Saccharomyces cerevisiae S288C: one gene and its partners. The protein of the gene in region 4 interacts with the protein of the main gene of each other region in a biochemical or structural test. Each region holds a gene or a part of one and is shown on either strand. Other genes may lie near its edges.

Region 1 (5,506 bases), on a different chromosome or scaffold from region 4:
CGTCCCATTGCGTCTCCTTGTGCCTGCTTTTTATCAATAGCCTCTGGATGCTTGCTTTAAGTGATTTTATGAGATGTGATATGAGCGTCTTCGGTCTTATAGAATCCAATACTCTATTCACTTTACGCGTTATTGATACTTTTTTTTTTTTTCCCGTACGTGTTTATCATGACAAACGATTACAATTTGAAGAGAAGAGCGATAGAACCAAGCCTTGGAACGTTGAAACATCTAACGATAAAGATTGTGTCATAAAAACACTCATTATTTACATTGTCCAATTTGAGAAATATCATGTGATAATATACTAGTAACATGAATACTACTAATTAGATAATATTAGAACTTTATTCTAACACAATTGTATTAGCTTTTGTATTTCTTCTGCCCACGGGAGGTTGAGCGTAGAACTTCCTAATTCTCAAGAGAATATCGATCTTTTTGAAAAACTGAAAACGGAACAGATGTTTCAAAACATAACGCTTGATAACTTGAAAAAAATCAGCAGAATCAACTTCTTAACGTTAAAAGTTCAAGAAAACTCTTGGGCCAAGAACCATCAGGAATATATTATTTAAAAAATGGTTGCTACTTTCAAGAGCATCGATTTCTTATTTGGCGCGTAAAGAAATTTTAGTCACTTCGGTTATTACGCATTTTTCCAGCTTTTATTTCTTTGATTGCTTTTATATTTTTTTAGATCATTTTCAAAACTTTCTTAAACCCTTCTCAACTAAAAACTTGTACTTTCCATATTTTCAGGGAAGAAACATTAATTAATAAACGGCACCCTTTTTGTAAACACAATTAAAATTGAACATACAAGCAGTTTAGCTGCAGTTTATATTCAATAAAATGTACGAAGTTGTTATTGTACTTTTTTACTGATTATATAACTACTTATTAAGCTATATTATCTAAGTATGAGTCAATGCTTATTCTCTGGGAAAGGTCATGGTATTATAGTTGTCCTCGTTAGACCCAAAGAAGTAGAAATGGATTCCAAAGACGACGACGAGGAGTTTACGGGATTGCTAACGTAGTTAATTTTTGAAGCTTTGCTGAAATCCAGAATTTCTAAAAAGCTCTGTCCATCTTTTTCAACTGCTGCAACAAGTGTTTTGCCCTTAAAATTAACCGACCAAATCTGATCAGCATCTTTTAGAATATTTGCGTGGACCAATTTCCCACTCCGTAGATTATAGATGTTGAACTGATTTTCCGATCCACTCACCAAAATATTATCCGATACATAAAATGTGGTAATTGCACTCAAATTGGTATGATGGTAGGAAAATTTTCTAGAGTAGTCGTTTGCGTCCCAACCCCTTATTGAACCGTCTGCAGCGGCACTGACCAAAAATTTGTCGGATAATCTTAATAAACCGACCAAAGCTGTATGACCCTGCAAAGTGTACATAGCACCAAGTATTTTGGCGCATGGCGATGCTGAATTTGTTGCGTAGGAACATTCTCCATTATTCCATATATTTTCCAAATCCCAAATTCTAATAGTGGTATCCATACTGGCAGAGATGCACCTTTTTCTTTCATGATCGTAGATTGTCGAATAAATACGATCCGTATGTCCACTTAAAATATACAAACATTTCATTTGCGCAACATCCCACACAATCAGTGTATTATCATAGGAGCCACTAACGACAATATTACCGTGGCCTGAGACAGTTCTTACAGATGCCATATGTCCTCTTAAAACACCAACAAAATATGGGTTCTCCTCAGGGGTATGAAAGACTAATGGATAATCATGTTCTTCCCCATGATCAGGAACGGAGGACTCCTTGGGCAATTTCCAAACGTGCAAAGTGTTATCTCTCGAACCAGTAACAATGTACTTGATATTTTTATATTCTACTATATCTAGGCACCTCACCGTAGAGTTATGACCTTTAAACACATGGGTACAACAACCTTTCTTAATATCCCAAACTCGCACCGTTCTGTCTGTAGAACCGCTGACTAAAATACCGCCATGGGCATACTTCAATGCCCAAACCCCACCATCATGACCTGATAGTTGTAGAAGAAATTTCTTGTTTATCGAATCATAAACTCTGATCATTTTGTCATCAGCCCCCGTAATGACATAATTATCTTCAAATTGCAAGCACGTAATAACACTCGTCATATGGCCTCTTAACGTGGTCCTTTGTGGTACAAACTTGGGATTGTACCAATTTTTTAAAATGAATATATTCTCCAGAAAAGATAATCTAAGGCGATCTTGTTGTGAGAGTTTTGGGTATTTTTGGGAGAGTTTGAGATTGAGAGAATTAAAACCCTTTGGGCTCACAAAATTTTCCGATATCAGAAGTTTTTTCCACAACGATGTAGATTTTCTAATTATTTTGTTCCAATTTTGGGAGACCCCAAGGGAATTTATAATATCCTCGAATTGCAAATAATTGAAAATTTTCAAACTTATTTCAAAAGGCAAAGACGTTATTAGGTCCCTCTTTAAATTATCCTTGATTAAAGTCCCCAAGTCGGATAGTTCACTCCTATCCATGTTGGCAACTAATCTAAATAATAAATTTTTGAAGTATGCGTGAGGGAGATTATTGTTTATTGCGCTGAAAATCTCATCAGAAAGGTATTCAGGGGAGATTATAGAATCTTTGGATTCTATCAAATCGGCGATATTATTATTGTTGTTGATAGTTTTCGTAGTTTTAGCTAAAGGAGTTGTGGTACCTGGAGAGGAAGCAGTGGGTGATAACGGCAGCGCTCCTTCCTCCATAGGATTGTTAATAGTAGCACTATTAACATTGTTACTAACATCACTGCCAGTTATTGTTGCCGCATTGACGGTAGTGGGAGCAGCAACATTATGAGATGCCACTCCCATGTTTACACTCAATGTAGAAGGTGCGGCAGAACCATCATCCACAGACATCAAAAGTTTTTCTGCATCGTTGGATATATCTGTTAAATTGTGCAGACCGTCATTATCCACAGACGCTGCACCGGTGTTCTGTAAGTTAACTGGATGGAGGGTTTTGTGATTATCATGTTTTACCCTTTTGAAATCACTGCGTTCAGGAGTGGATTCGCCAGAACCAGCTGCTCTTTTCCTCTGATACTCATCGATATCTTCTTCGCCGTCTTCTGTCTCAACTGTCTTAGCCGTGGACGAGTTTCGATGAGTGCCAGCGGCAGTAACAAGCGCAGTAACACTACCTGAGGAAGCTATACCGCCAGACACACGGTAGCTATAAGGAACAGGGATATCACGTAATGGAAACTCAGCTAAGGGAAACGACCCCATCGTACAGCGTAATTTTTGCCTTTCTTTGATTCTTTATGCGTAATTTTCTTCGAACCGCAACAAGTTGAATGAGGAGAAGAAGAAGAGAATACTGTAAATAAACGTTTTTTTCCCAAAAAAGACACTATATTTTAAGCACACAGAAAAAGACACGCTTTGTTGAGCAATCTATATTCATATAACAGTGGTAATAGCCTTTCTCTCACAAGATATACAAGCGCTGTGACGTTTTAACGTATTCAGTATTATTTCAACAGGCTTTTTTGTTTCGTCCACCTGACCGAGCCGGCAGCTGGAAGAAAAAGTTTACTTTAGTCATGATAATCAAAAGACTCTTTCTGAATTGCTTTTATCACTCACTACAAGAGAGTCGATAAAAAAACCCAAAACATTTTAAAGTAATGGCTCAAAGTAAAAGTAATCCTCCTCAAGTGCCTTCTGGCTGGAAGGCTGTTTTTGATGATGAATACCAGACTTGGTATTATGTAGATTTATCTACGAACAGCTCTCAGTGGGAACCACCAAGGGGAACAACATGGCCAAGACCCAAAGGTCCTCCACCAGGTGTTAACAATGAGAAGAGTTCTCGTCAACAGGCAGACCAGGCTCCTCCACCTTATTCTTCTCAATCAACACCGCAAGTGCAAGCAGGGGCCCAAGCACAGCAACCTCGTTACTATCAGCCTCAACAGCCTCAGTACCCTCAATACCCTCAACAGCAGCGTTACTATCCTCAACAAGCCCCTATGCCAGCAGCAGCACCACAGCAAGCATACTATGGAACTGCGCCAAGCACCAGTAAAGGTAGTGGACACGGCGGTGCCATGATGGGTGGTTTACTTGGTGTTGGTGCGGGTTTGTTAGGTGGAGCTATGCTAGAACACGCATTTGACGACCACAACTATGACGGACCAGACACTGTCGTTGTCGAGAACAATTACTACGGTGATGATGCTGGTGGGTCCGACGGCGGATTTGATGATGCTGGTGGGTTCGACGGCGGATTTGATGATGGATTTGACGGTAGTGACTTTTAATGTTATCAAGACTTTTTGGACAAGGACGATAAAATGATATAAGCTCATCAAATCTATATTGCTTGCTGCCATCTAAATATGGATACATACAGATATATACTTGCAAAGATCGGTCCATTATACTACATAGAAAGCAATTAAAAGATAAAAAAACCCATCATGATATTCTACGCTTTTTTACTTAGCCATGTTGTTGAATGTAGCTTCAATTACTTCTGTCTGTCTAATTTATTGCTACTTTTTCACTTCTAAGTGAACCATCACAACACATATAGCATAGTCGAGAAAAAAATCAATAGCTATTACTAGATGATAGATACCGTATATGCCACCTACAGCTTACTAGAGAGCTTCCGGAATGATAGTATCATTTATCAAACTACCGGTATGGTTGTGTATTGACTGCGCCTCTCAATCTATGAAGCAGCACCACGCCTTATCGTGGCTATGCGCGATATGACCGAGCTTTACAACATACTTTTCAATAAGCCGTTCTTTGAATAATGGACCCTTTCCTATAACCTAGTGCGCGTTTAAGGTGTTTTGTTCCAATAATAGAAGCACCTATCCACATACTTCACATACAGATACACTAACTAATACCACCGATGAAGCGGAAACAATGATAAATGCAAAGCCTTGGAACATCGACAGGACTACCCGAAAATAATATGTGTGTTTACTAACAACGCAGTAATAAAGCTTTCATAACGGTAAAAAGAGGTAAGATCCTGTATAAACTGGTCTCTAGTTACTTATATCTCAAAACATTATATATGTCGATGGTACAAGTTTGACCTTACATTGCCTGATTTTTTCAGAAAGATAGCAGGTAGTTGTTATACTACAGTAATTTACTATAGCTAATCTTCATTTTAAAGTGCCCACTTCTTTTTTTTTTTGAAATTATTTCTGAGTAGTAGCTAGCTTATAAACTACTTATATGCATTTATTCACCGGCGTCGCAAATGTGTCCGTCTTATTTTTTTTAATTTTTTTTTCAATTTGTGACGCCATTAATAAAGGCTATTATATAAAACCAATCTCCATGAAATAGAAGTAAAGCATCAATCCATTATCTGTTGTTATTTCTGTTTACCAGAGTACAAGAATATTTAGAAATTATTTACTATCAACAATAACTAATGGTGTACTGCTTGTTGGTTGTGGTGTTCTT
Region 2 (5,533 bases), 340 kb from region 4:
AAGATCAACGAGATCACTTCTGAAGGAATCTTCAGAGGAAAATCTGATTTCAATACCTTTGGATTTGACAAATTCAATGACTTCAACAGCACTCTTGGCGATGTAGTTCATATCCTTACCGTGGGAATATTGTCTTAAAAATTTGGAGGTGCCGATAACAACATCGACACCGTCGACACCAGTCTCTACGGCGACTCTGGCATCGTCCATGTGACAACGAATGTGTGTAAGGATCTTGGCCTTTAAACCTAGTTTACATATAGCTTCACAGTCCTTTCTTGATTGTTCGGATGCTACGGGAGAGGTTAACTCGATGTAGTCCACACCGAAATCATCCAAGGCTCTAGCAATTTCAATCTTTTTTTCAGTATCGAAGAATGCGTTGGCAAATTGTTCACCCTCTCTTAGTGTTGAATCAATCAACTGGAAATTCTTAACATTGGATAGATAATCCGCAGGATTTGGGCCATATGGGTTACTAGTGGTTGGAGCAGTCGTCGATTCGGTGACACTCTGGAATTCGTTATTTTCAGACATGGTTTGTTAAAGTATACAATTACTTGGGTTGTCGTTGCACTTTTAAATGTGTAGCAAATAAAGGCCTAAACGCAACAAGAAGAAAGATAAATTTTGAAATCTGTTGCATATATATATTAGTATATAAGAGACTGCATGAAAATGCGAACAAACGCATGCTCAACACCACTCATGCGCAATATCGTAGAATCACACACAACGAGAACGATCAGCTTGGCATCTTTGCAAAGTGACTAATTTTCGCTGTTCCACCACTATCGCACATTGCGCGACGTGATTTCTACGCGGATTTCTTGGAGCTGGTAGCTGCTGGTGACGATTTCCAGCGGAATTTCAACTCTGCCACTGACTGATCCTTGTTGTCAGTCTCATCATTTCAGCCTGATCTCTTCTCAAGCAGGCCGAAAAGCCGCCCGGTAAAGGATGTTACAACGGAAAGAGAAGTGCCATATCTTCATACTATGAGATTCTCAAGAGGTCAAAGACTCTTCATAGTTCAGTTGAATACACACAATTACACACACACACATATATATATATACATATATATATATATATATATATATATATATATATGTATACGCTTATGTATTTACTCGTAGGATTTGCTTCGTTCGATCAGCACAAGCCTTCAAAGATGATTAAGCAAGGTAAGCATACGATTCACCATCGTCTCCCCTCTGTAGGTATCCCTTTTGTATTAAGCTATCGATGGCTCTCTTGACCATAGAAACCTTTGCATTGAACCTTTGGTGTGATTGCGCAATGCATTCGTTGACCAATGTTGTATGTGGCAGATTTCTTTTCGCTTTCATTATTCTCACAATACAAGCTTCCAAGAAAATCTGCCTTTCTGTATTCAATTCTTTTTCTATTCTTTCGTCTTCCGTCAAGCGTTTGTTTCCTAACTTATTACCGTGATTATCGTGGCCTCCACCGGATAGCGATTGCAGAATGTCGTTTTTGACTCCGCTAGCGAAATTAATATTGGTCTTAAGCGCCTTATAAGGACGTGATAGCTTGAATTGTGTTTCAGGTTTCACGAGAGCATCTAGCCCTGGTGGGACCTGTTGAATCAGTTTGAATTTGATGAATGGTACCATTGCCGCTGCGATGTGCTGAATGGTTAAGCTCGTGCCCTCTTGAATATTTTCTAAGGTTAATACATCAGCATCGTTATATAGTAGCAAAATTGCCATTTGAAACAGTGTTACCGTAAAGTTGAACGGCATCCTGCCGGGTTTTCCAATATCTGCCTTCAATTCGCCACGACATAATGGCCATAGCCACTTCAATATTCTACCATTATGCTTTTGGCTGTATGACTCCTTCAATTTTTCGTGAGATGGTACCAATTCCTTGGGTAGCTTAAATTCAACTTCTTGGTATGAAAATGGCCACATATTTTCTGCCAATACAAATGGTTGTAGATCTGGATATTTTGCTTTAGAGTAATCTGGTTCATTCTTCAGGGCGACAGCAAAATCGTCTTCCAAGATCTTGGAAAGTCTAATATCTTGAAACATTTTAGTTATCTTGCCTGTATATTCCATACTATTTGCCGCTTGCAGCCTTTGAATAATATTTTCTTCGTCTTCTGCTGATGTTGAAGTGCCATGAATTAAACGCTTGGCGAAAAGTCTTCTATAATGAGTTTCGAACGCATCTTTGTCGGTCAAATATTTGAATATTGTTATAATATCTTCATCTGACATGTCACTTGCCACTTCAGGTTTGGTGGCCTTCTTTAATAGTATATCACTGTACTTAGCTAGCATCTCGGAAGTCTTCGAGGTGGCACTTTTTGGAGATCCAGCAGGTAATGCGAACTCGTTGATGTTGATGAAAGCACCACACGCATTATCTAGAGCTTTAGCTAAAGGTATGTCGTCGGGGAAACTTTCATTAAAAATCTTAGAGAATATATCGTGTACTTCCAGTAATTTCTTGATATAGTCTTTAGGAGAAAGGGAGTGAGCTGTCATTAGTGCTAGTTTTTTAGGGTTTGCGTTTTCGTTTTTCATAATATTGTGTTTATGCATTGCCAGTAGACTCGAAATTTCATTCTCACCTGTCTTTTTAACATAATTTTCAAACACTGAAGCCATTCTTGGGATTAATGTAAAGTCTCTGCGTATTAGTGCGTACAAAGAAGTAATTTTTTCAATATCTCTGGCATCCAGAAGGACAACAAACTCATTTTCCAACTTTTCAATATGGTCTGTGATCAAGACCTTGTTTAATGCCATGGATAGTGGTTTTTTTGTATGATCATCCCAATATATTGTCATTGCTTTTTCCTCACGTTTGATGATTTCATGTGCTTCAAAAATATACTCAGTTACCGAGTGTTTCTCTAAATAATCGTTTGTATATTGCGTGTAGTACTCCTGAGTCTTCTTTAAAAATGGCTTTTCGAAAACTTGGATGTAGACATTTAGGTTCAACTTTTTCAAATCCTGTGGATCGATACCTAGTGCAACTAAAGACTTTATGGCAGTGCTAATATTACTTCTTTGAATTATTTGCCCCTCCCTTCCCAAGGTTACCTGGTCTAATAATTCGTTTATTAAAACATCTTTACTCGGATCAAACATGACTTCTTTCCATGTCATCAAGCACAAGGTGTTTACATCAAAAATATGCCTTTTGCCGTCACTTCTTTCCTTTTGAACCCAATATCTATTCATATAATCGAATGCATGGTTTAAAAAAATGGCACCTATTGTAAACCTTTTCCAGCGCTTGACGTAAAACTGCAAAAAGGTCTCTGAATTAGACTGCTTAAAATTTAAAATGTAATTCTTCAAATAATTCTTTAACTTTTCGTAAATCTCACTGCCAACCAAAATTGTTGATTGGCCAGTTCTACTGTCAGTACTAAAATGTCCAGACGAGCGTGATTTGTTCACACAGTAGTTATAAATTGCGGTATAGACTTCCATATACATGGTTGGAGAAAGAATTTTGTAAACTCGCTTAGACGTGGATGCTTGGTTTTTCTCATTACCCAGTATTTGGTTAATTCCTGGCTCTATAAAGTTCCAAGTGGCCTCTAAATCATCAGATCTAGGCAGAGTCTCAGACATGCTTTGCTGCTTGCGATTTTGTTGTTATTCTTTGTTTAGGTATATGTAAGAATCCTTTCAAGACTCAAAAATGTACGCTTATTTATCGGTAAGTAGAAGCAATGTCGAATTGCTAAAAGAAATGTGTAACTGAGGTAAAATGTAATCAACAATGAAAGGGGTGCACAGAAGTTAGAAGATGCGGATGAAAAGCTCTAAAAGAGAAAAAGGACAATATAAAAGAGCAGTGATATGAATCAATTGCGTTGTAAAGTGAAGTTCTGCTGGGGTACTTTACCTAATGCCCTAGTTTTTCTAGATGTTCTATTTGCCACATTTCACTTCATGTGTGTCCATCAAACATCGAAATGAAAAAGGGCCCTTAAAACGGAAAGGAAAAGAAAGTGCAATAGCCCTCCCTTCGGGTAATACATATTATATCGCACAAAGCCTAATATAATCAAACCCGCCGTTAATGAATAAATGCCAAGCCGGAGTAATTTTTTAAGTCAAAAATATACAATGCATATAAATGTCAATCTTGGTATCTAAAAGAATTCTTTTAATTTCTATATTTGTCGAGCTCAGTTTCTGTTGGTAATTGAACTGACTTTTTCGACTACTCTAACAATACTGATCGAGAAAGTGATTACCCACATAAACAAGGCAACGAACAGAAAAGCGGATAAAGCTTCCTGTTTTCTGCAGATACGCGGTATTTTTGGGTATCCATACGTGCTTCCATTTGACCTGCGAATAGAAGTGCAAACCCACTCTTTGTCGAAACGAGTATTAAATGCCAGCGCTAGATTAGCGCTTGAAAAAATTATAAAAAGTAAGTCCAACAAAATTAGTTTCAGTTTGCTTAACGGATTCCTCAAACCAACAGGTTTACCAGCAAATTCATCGTGTGCAATGTAAATAATATACGCAATCGCCACGGCGTTGACGCAGATGGCCATTATGGTGCTTGGTTGTTGCCCGATTTTACTTTCACTGATGGTGTTATTTGATCTTGAGTTTTGAAAAATCTTGATTGCCAGAGCAAGTGAAATGCACGATAATATACCAGTGAAAATCCTCAAACCCAAAATCAAATATTGATTATCAAGTAATAGCGACGTCAAAGGAGGTCTCCACTGTTGTAACTTCCTTTGCTTTAACCTCCGCCACTTTTCTCTCTCTTTATTGAGCTCATTTACCCAATCTGACTTGTAAACTTTGTTGTGTACTGATTCGGGTGATTCTGGGTTCTTCTTATTATCACCGTAATAGAAATCTTTTACCTTTTCGATATATTGTAACCACTCTTTTCTCTCTTCTGTCGTGTTGAACTCTAAATTGGCACCTATTTCTGAATGTAGAACACCTTCTAGTCGTTCTTCACCTCCCCACTCGCTGCACATGTCACCTAAAATTTCTCTAAGAGCCGCATTTTTTGATGAGGTAGATGATGATAGAGAGTAACCATCGTAGGATTTGTGACTAGGATTGTAGTTTTGGTCTCTAGTGTATGCAGAATGACAGCCGATGGTAGATGCAAACTGGCCCCATTTAAACTCTTTTGGAAGATTTTTATCATCGGTAACATTTCCATCAACGGTGCCCTTATCCTGAAGTCTTAATTTATCAAACTGCGCCTCTAAAACATAAGGCGGCACTGTGGTAGGCACAAACGTGTAAGTATTTAATTTTGGATAGTCTAGTGGTGAACCATCACTGTGTTTGGGAACATGTATCTTTGCATTCTGTAATGCTTCCAGTGAACCTGACTTCCTTACTGTTTGATTTTTTTCAAGATCCACGTTTAAATTAAGTTGATTTTGATCTGCGATTCTAGAAGCGTTCGTGGATGTTGTATCAGAATACGCTTCTTGGCTGGAATTAGAATCCCCCATTAAATTTGTCAGTGTAAAAAAAAAGAACGC
Region 3 (3,467 bases), on a different chromosome or scaffold from region 4:
ATAGTCATGCACGCATCATGGTTCAGGTCCGGGTTTATAGAATAAATTCTTACTGTGTTTATTCCCAATTCTTGAAATAATAAAATATCACGAGCGCATGCATCTGGATTGGATAACGGATCCTGCTTTTCACTAACGTCGGAAGAGCCTCCTGGCTGATAATCCACACCTTTGATGAAGAATGGTTTTCCAGTCACTGTGTCAACGAAATGCTTGTCCTTAATTTGAATGGTGTGGACTGAAGCTTCACACAGTACAACTAACTCCAAAATTAGAAAAATAAAGGTGCTCGAAAAAACCATCATGCTCACGATTTTGTTCTTTTCTGCTTTATTTGTAGCGTTCGAGGTAAAATATATTTTTTTATTTTAATACTGCTTTACTCAGTATCCTATTATGTGTCGTTTTTTTGTGCCGCTACCTCAGTCTCACCTTACAATACGGAAAAAAAAGACTATTGGCAATTTCTTTACCCAACATAATTACCACTAAATTATTATAAGTGAACTTTTGGCCTAGTGTTTGTGTATATATATTTGTCCTTTGGAAGGGCAGTGATCGTCTTTAAATGTTTTAAACAAAAGAAGTATGTAAAAGCAGCCTGATAATAAATGTGCTCTTAAAGAGTCAAAATACTACTAATTTTTTAGCGGCTATATAGAGGTAGATTATGAACAAGGCTAGGATGATTTTGTTCTGTCACCTTTGTGGATGTCTTATTCCTACCCCGAGTTACTAACGAGATAAACAAAAAGGGTGCATACAACTCGATTATGCTATGTATATAACAAAATTCGACGTGGAAGAGAAAAACATGTATCTACTGCGCCAGTTGACATACTCTAAAAAAAAAGGAACATGCCATAATCCTTCTACCTCGGTATGATTTAAATGTTTACGGGCAATTCATTTTTTCACCTACCGCATCTTGCTAACTGCCAAGGTTGGTTATCTAATGGGCATGCGTCTCTTGTCTTGATCCATTTATTAATACAGTGCAAATGGAAAGCGTGATTACAGACACCCCAGGCTGCTACACATTCATTATCAGTGTCCGTCATGGCCTTTGGCTGGCATTCAATGCATGGTTCCATTATATGGTTCCTGCAAATAGCACAGTTGTCAACAGCTATATCCCATGACCAAAACGCCACTGCGGTCCATTTCTTAATTTCAAATCTCTTCTTTTTGGTTTCCACTGGCGCACTTTGGTTTGAGCTTTGCGCAATATTTTGCGATTCATCTTCATCAACATCCATCCTGTCAACTTCGTTGCTCATGTTGAACTATTTCTCTTTAAAGTTCTCTGCCACTGGAGAAAGACATTTAGTAGCAACCAACATTGCACATATTGAAGCCCATACGTCTATTGTGGGTTTCATGATCTCCCTCTTCACACCTTTAAAAGAAACTATTATCACGAAATACGAAATGTTAGTTAGAACTTAAACAACGAATCTTGCATTTTCAGCAGGCAGGTCATTAGACGTGCAAATATGACATAAAAGAGGTTTCATATCCCAAATTTAAGCTAGTAAAAAAAAAATTCACAAACTAAAAATGTCCAATGATCCTGGTAATGAGGTTAGCTCCTTGTACCCACCTCCACCCCCATACGTGAAGTTTTTCACACAGTCCAATCTGGAAAAATTACCAAAATACAAAGAAAAGAAGGCCGCAAGTGCGAAGCAGACGGCTCCAAATAACAGTAACGGCGGCAGTGAAGAGGAGATTACATGTGCGCTAGATTACCTAATCCCACCCCCCATGCCCAAAAATCAGCAGTACCGAGCGTTTGGGAGTATATGGCAGGTGAAGGACCAACTGCCCGATTTAGAGAGCATGGGACTCACCCAACTTTATAAGAAATCCACAGAAAACGAAAGCACAAATTATCAATACAAAATCCAAGAGCTACGCAAACTATTGAAATCCCTCCTGCTAAATTACTTGGAACTCATCGGCGTATTGAGCATAAATCCGGATATGTATGAGCGCAAAGTGGAGAACATAAGGACCATTCTTGTCAATATTCACCACCTACTTAATGAGTACAGACCCCATCAGTCCCGAGAGTCCCTTATTATGCTATTGGAAGAACAATTAGAATACAAGCGCGGGGAAATTCGCGAGATCGAGCAAGTATGCAAACAGGTACACGACAAACTCACCAGCATACAGGACACCTTAAGAACCGGATCACAATCTCCTCCATCGTCGTCCCAATGACCACACTATTATAAATCATTTGTGTAACTATATACATTTTCAACTACCGTATAGCGTATAGTAGGCACGTGGTAGTCCACCCGTACACCTCCCTCGGAACGGAAAAATACGAACTATAGCTTATCGGAATATATACCAAAAATTAATTGACGTATTTCCGAGATTCCAGGCACAAGTGCCCCACCTTTTCACAGAAATCGCGCACAGATGAGTCTGCAACGGAAATTGTTTTCCTTTTTTTTCTTTTTCTTCTCTGGGCATCTGAATCGATTGATAATGAAAAAAAAGTAGAAAAAGTAAATTGGATTACTCGGTTTTTCGTGTGGAAGATTGGCTTATATAAAAGAAGACGTGCTCTAAACAAAGGTGTTTTCGCTTATTTTGGTGCCACAGCAAACCAACTTATTTGCTTTTTTAGAGGGTGTTAAAAAGTCTGATACGCTCATATACGAGTAACACTAAACCGGAAATACTAGGAGAGCCCAGTACTTATACTTCTTATTTGGCTTCAAGTTCCACTGCCCTCGAAACAAATTACCTTACGCGATTTTTAATATTTTAGATATAAGGAAAAGGAAGAAAAGGGATAACGAACGCGTTTTTTCCGCTGGAAGTTTGAAAATGGGTGGTTCTTCCGATTCAGACTCTCACGATGGATATTTGACTTCCGAATATAATTCCTCGAATTCTCTTTTTTCACTTAACACCGGTAACAGCTATTCAAGCGCATCTCTCGACAGAGCCACTTTAGATTGTCAAGATTCTGTTTTTTTCGATAATCACAAAAGTTCACTGCTGTCTACAGAGGTCCCAAGGTTTATTTCTAACGACCCGTTACACTTACCCATTACACTGAATTACAAAAGAGACAATGCAGACCCTACGTATACAAATGGAAAAGTTAACAAGTTTATGATTGTTTTGATTGGGCTACCAGCTACTGGGAAGTCTACCATTTCTTCTCATTTAATTCAATGTTTGAAGAACAATCCGCTAACTAATTCATTACGCTGTAAAGTTTTTAATGCTGGTAAGATAAGAAGGCAAATCAGTTGTGCTACCATTTCAAAGCCTTTGCTTTTGTCGAATACATCTTCGGAAGACTTATTTAATCCGAAAAATAACGATAAAAAGGAAACGTATGCCAGGATCACTTTGCAAAAGTTGTTTCACGAAATCAACAACGATGAATGTGACGTGGGAATCTTCGACGCCACAAATTCGACCATCGAAAGAAG
Region 4 (4,057 bases):
AGAAAATAAAAATAAAAAAGGTAATGAGGAATTAGATGCAAAGAGATATAGATATAAACACACACACACAAATATATATTTATATACATATGTATGGTGATATATATTCAAAAAAAAAAAGTACAGTAACTTAGAAACTATTAGTGGGACGGATTTGGTTTTCTTATTTCTTTCTTTTTAAAAAACTTTCTTAATATACACGTTTGTGGTTATAAGGTGGTGTAAAGTAATGTAATGATATACACTTTTTTTCTCAATTCTTTACCTTCTTCTTTCGTACGGTGTACTGCGAGAAGTAAAATGGGATGATGAATTAATTTTTCTAAATTTTTCTTCGACACTTAGTTATTTTCTTCTTCCCCTGTCAATCTCAGATTATCATAGGGAAAAATGTAAAGTGCTTTATCGACAACGTATCGCGTATGTATAAATTGATTCATGTTTTGCGTTTGAGCTGAATATGTTTTGTTAAATTTTGTCTTCTTTCTTACTGTTCTTTTTTATATTTTCTTTGAAACTCTTTCTACATCCTCCACATCTTCACTTTCATCTTCAGCCTTGTGGGGTTGTTTCCTATCCATGACGCTGTCGTTATCTATACTATCGTCGTCATCATCGTCATCATCTTCGAATTCGATTCTTTCGTCATCGTCGTCGTTGTCGTTATAGTTGTAAACGTCATCATCTTCAAAGGGGATATGGTTGTTTCCATCGTCGTAGTCGTCGTCTTGTAAAATGACGGACCCGTTCTCATCGTCGTCCAAATCACTATCATACCAAAAATTATCCGCCATATCCTTATTCGATTCTGGTTCATCTAGTTTACTTTGAGATATGTACGCCGATTCAGAAGTGGGCATTATGAAACCTTTAGGGATATCTTGTTTCGATCTTTCCACTTCCATTTTGACTCTTTGCTTGTATTGTTCAGGGTTCTTTCTGTAATCAACAGCGGCATCGACATTTGCTGGCGAGTTGATATTGGGGTCCTCTAATAGAGATACTATAGAGATCAACACACTTTCCACGGTCTGCACGGGGGACCACGTTTCAGCATCAGGTTCGTCGGTCATAGGATCCCCACTTTGATGTAAAATAGAAATACAAAGCCTGCCATCCCTGTAAACGTTTGGATGGTAGATAGCCGGCGTAAATCGAAACTGTGGTGGAGAAAAGGGAAAGTCTTCCGGAAATCTCATTTGAGCTTTGAAAAACCCTCCATGATAAATGGAATCCTCATTTAGCACCATAACACCTATGTTCCAAGTGAAAATATTTGAATCATCCTCTAGTTCTATATGAAATGAGGGAATAGCTTTCTTAGGATCAGTAAGTTCTCTATATTGCCGTAACAGTAAGCTAGAAGCGGTGCTTTTGCGACTACTCATATTTACGTTGTATTGTTCTTTTTTCCTTGTTTGGTGTACTAAAAAATAACAGTCGCTATAAGTCCTAAACAGTAAAGGACAAAGATGTCAGCGGCAGAGAGTATAAAGGAGTACTATTCGACTGAAATAACAAACGCAAAGCTCCTATTATTTTGTAATAGTATGCTCTTTATTGTCCTTCTTAACTTTAAGTTTCTGCTCTTGTTCTTTACAGATTCAAGAGGAAACCAAAAAAAAATCAAAGAAAAAGAATCGAATTTTTCCCAAAATGAAAGTGTAAGGAAAAAAAAAGAGGAGATAGAAAATCCGAAGAACCCCAAGGGACGGACAAACACAAGACGATGCTGCACGTGGTTAGTTTTGTAAGCGCAGGTTACGATAAAGAGCATAAACAAATCATTACTAAGAGCGGTATACAAGAATAAAGTGACAAACAGTTCTCCCTATTTAACGCACTTAACGTAGGTTCCATCATTATGATGCTATTGCCACATCAAATCTCCTTTGGACTGAACCCGCATTAGTAATTGCCCGCTTTTCTTTTCTTCCGCGGGTGGGCCCCATAAATAGAAAAAAAAAGAAAGAAAGCGTTTAAATAAATAGAGTGAGCGGATTTCTATTATCTGAAAACCGGGTTATAATGCACGTGATATGCACGTGGGAGCTGGGCGGCTATTTTTTTCTTTTTCAAATGTATTTGAGTCGTTTAAAATAGCACTCCCCGTTGACCCGCCAACTCATTTTTGTTTTCTCTTTACGGAAAAGGCTTTAAATTAAGGCCCGCATTTTCGGTATCCTTGAGGGAAAAAAACCAAAGAAACCCAAAAAAGACCACAAAGCTGGGATATCTTAATTAGTAGAGAGGGCTTTTAGTTTTAATAGTGTTACGAGTCTCTAAAAATAGCGTAGGCACACTGCCCTGATTCGGACTTTGATCAGAGTTTATTACTACAAAGAGTAATGTTGAATGATTGGGCTGGGTTTTCATAGCATTAACTCTAAGTAATATCATTCAACCGCTCAAGGTTCCTTACGAGCAAACCCATATATGCTCTACAGATAAACATATAAATAGCGTGCATATTCTTCTCTATTCAACTCTTGCTCTGTATAGTTCAATAGAATCTTACAGTACATCACGCTGCAATAGATCTAATCCAAGAGAGAAGCAAAAAAAAAAAGCTCGCTATAAAAATATCATGCAATTACATTCACTTATCGCTTCAACTGCGCTCTTAATAACGTCAGCTTTGGCTGCTACTTCCTCTTCTTCCAGCATACCCTCTTCCTGTACCATAAGCTCACATGCCACGGCCACAGCTCAGAGTGACTTAGATAAATATAGCCGCTGTGATACGTTAGTCGGGAACTTAACTATTGGTGGTGGTTTGAAGACTGGTGCTTTGGCTAATGTTAAAGAAATCAACGGGTCTCTAACTATATTTAACGCTACAAATCTAACCTCATTCGCTGCTGATTCCTTGGAGTCCATCACAGATTCTTTGAACCTACAGAGTTTGACAATCTTGACTTCTGCTTCATTTGGGTCTTTACAGAGCGTTGATAGTATAAAACTGATTACTCTACCCGCCATCTCCAGTTTTACTTCAAATATCAAATCTGCTAACAACATTTATATTTCCGACACTTCGTTACAATCTGTCGATGGATTCTCAGCCTTGAAAAAAGTTAACGTGTTCAACGTCAATAACAATAAGAAATTAACCTCGATCAAATCTCCAGTTGAAACAGTCAGCGATTCTTTACAATTTTCGTTCAACGGTAACCAGACTAAAATCACCTTCGATGACTTGGTTTGGGCAAACAATATCAGTTTGACCGATGTCCACTCTGTTTCCTTCGCTAACTTGCAAAAGATTAACTCTTCATTGGGTTTCATCAACAACTCCATCTCAAGTTTGAATTTCACTAAGCTAAACACCATTGGCCAAACCTTCAGTATCGTTTCCAATGACTACTTGAAGAACTTGTCGTTCTCTAATTTGTCAACCATAGGTGGTGCTCTTGTCGTTGCTAACAACACTGGTTTACAAAAAATTGGTGGTCTCGACAACCTAACAACCATTGGCGGTACTTTGGAAGTTGTTGGTAACTTCACCTCCTTGAACCTAGACTCTTTGAAGTCTGTCAAGGGTGGCGCAGATGTCGAATCAAAGTCAAGCAATTTCTCCTGTAATGCTTTGAAAGCTTTGCAAAAGAAAGGGGGTATCAAGGGTGAATCTTTTGTCTGCAAAAATGGTGCATCATCCACATCTGTTAAACTATCGTCCACTTCCAAATCTCAATCAAGCCAAACTACTGCCAAGGTTTCCAAGTCATCTTCTAAGGCCGAGGAAAAGAAGTTCACTTCTGGCGATATCAAGGCTGCTGCTTCTGCCTCTAGTGTTTCTAGTTCTGGCGCTTCCAGCTCTAGCTCTAAGAGTTCCAAAGGCAATGCCGCTATCATGGCACCAATTGGCCAAACAACCCCTTTGGTCGGTCTTTTGACGGCAATCATCATGTCTATAATGTAATGGAATGAAGAAATATTCTTCATTTTTGATAACTAGTACCTGTCATTCACGACATGTGAACAAATAAAAACATTTATTTAAAAATTTTATGTATTCAAATATTTTCGGGAAAGAGATAAAAGTAACGACACTTAA

Evidence for each region.
Region 1: the proteins of CDC34 (region 4) and CDC4 form a complex in vitro, tested with the Saccharomyces cerevisiae proteins (11 studies listed by BioGRID, with this or other methods).
Region 2: the proteins of CDC34 (region 4) and CDC53 form a complex in vitro, tested with the Saccharomyces cerevisiae proteins (4 studies listed by BioGRID).
Region 3: the proteins of CDC34 (region 4) and HRT1 form a complex in vitro, tested with the Saccharomyces cerevisiae proteins (21 studies listed by BioGRID, with this or other methods).

What each region holds. Positions count from the first base shown.
Region 1 is NC_001138.5:113,931-119,436, reverse strand, and holds CDC4 (SCF ubiquitin ligase complex subunit CDC4), read right to left. Parts: upstream 3,293-5,506; coding exon 953-3,292; downstream 1-952. Other genes in the region: cohesin subunit SMC1, read right to left, coding at 1-8; WWM1 (Wwm1p), read left to right, coding at 3,694-4,329; AUA1 (Aua1p), read right to left, coding at 4,163-4,447; hexose transporter HXT10, read right to left, coding at 5,452-5,506. UniProt on the Saccharomyces cerevisiae protein: Substrate recognition component of a SCF (SKP1-CUL1-F-box protein) E3 ubiquitin-protein ligase complex which mediates the ubiquitination and subsequent proteasomal degradation of target proteins. Recognizes and binds to phosphorylated target proteins.
Region 2 is NC_001136.10:222,397-227,929, reverse strand, and holds CDC53 (cullin CDC53), read right to left. Parts: upstream 3,627-5,533; coding exon 1,179-3,626; downstream 1-1,178. Other genes in the region: homocitrate synthase LYS21, read right to left, coding at 1-537; SRF1 (phospholipase D regulator), read right to left, coding at 4,190-5,503. UniProt on the Saccharomyces cerevisiae protein: Core component of multiple cullin-RING-based SCF (SKP1-CUL1-F-box) E3 ubiquitin-protein ligase complexes which mediate the ubiquitination and subsequent proteasomal degradation of target proteins.
Region 3 is NC_001147.6:68,138-71,604, reverse strand, and holds HRT1 (SCF ubiquitin ligase complex subunit HRT1), read right to left. Parts: upstream 1,281-3,467; coding exon 915-1,280; downstream 1-914. Other genes in the region: GAS4 (1,3-beta-glucanosyltransferase), read right to left, coding at 1-305; mediator complex subunit MED7, read left to right, coding at 1,561-2,229; PFK27 (6-phosphofructo-2-kinase), read left to right, coding at 2,851-3,467. UniProt on the Saccharomyces cerevisiae protein: Core component of multiple cullin-RING-based E3 ubiquitin-protein ligase complexes (CRLs), which mediate the ubiquitination of target proteins.
Region 4 is NC_001136.10:560,940-564,996, forward strand, and holds CDC34 (SCF E2 ubiquitin-protein ligase catalytic subunit CDC34), read right to left. Parts: upstream 1,389-4,057; coding exon 501-1,388; downstream 1-500. Other genes in the region: PST1 (Pst1p), read left to right, coding at 2,588-3,922. UniProt on the Saccharomyces cerevisiae protein: Catalyzes the covalent attachment of ubiquitin to other proteins. Capable, in vitro, to ubiquitinate histone H2A. Mediates the initiation of DNA replication (transition of G1 to S phase in cell cycle).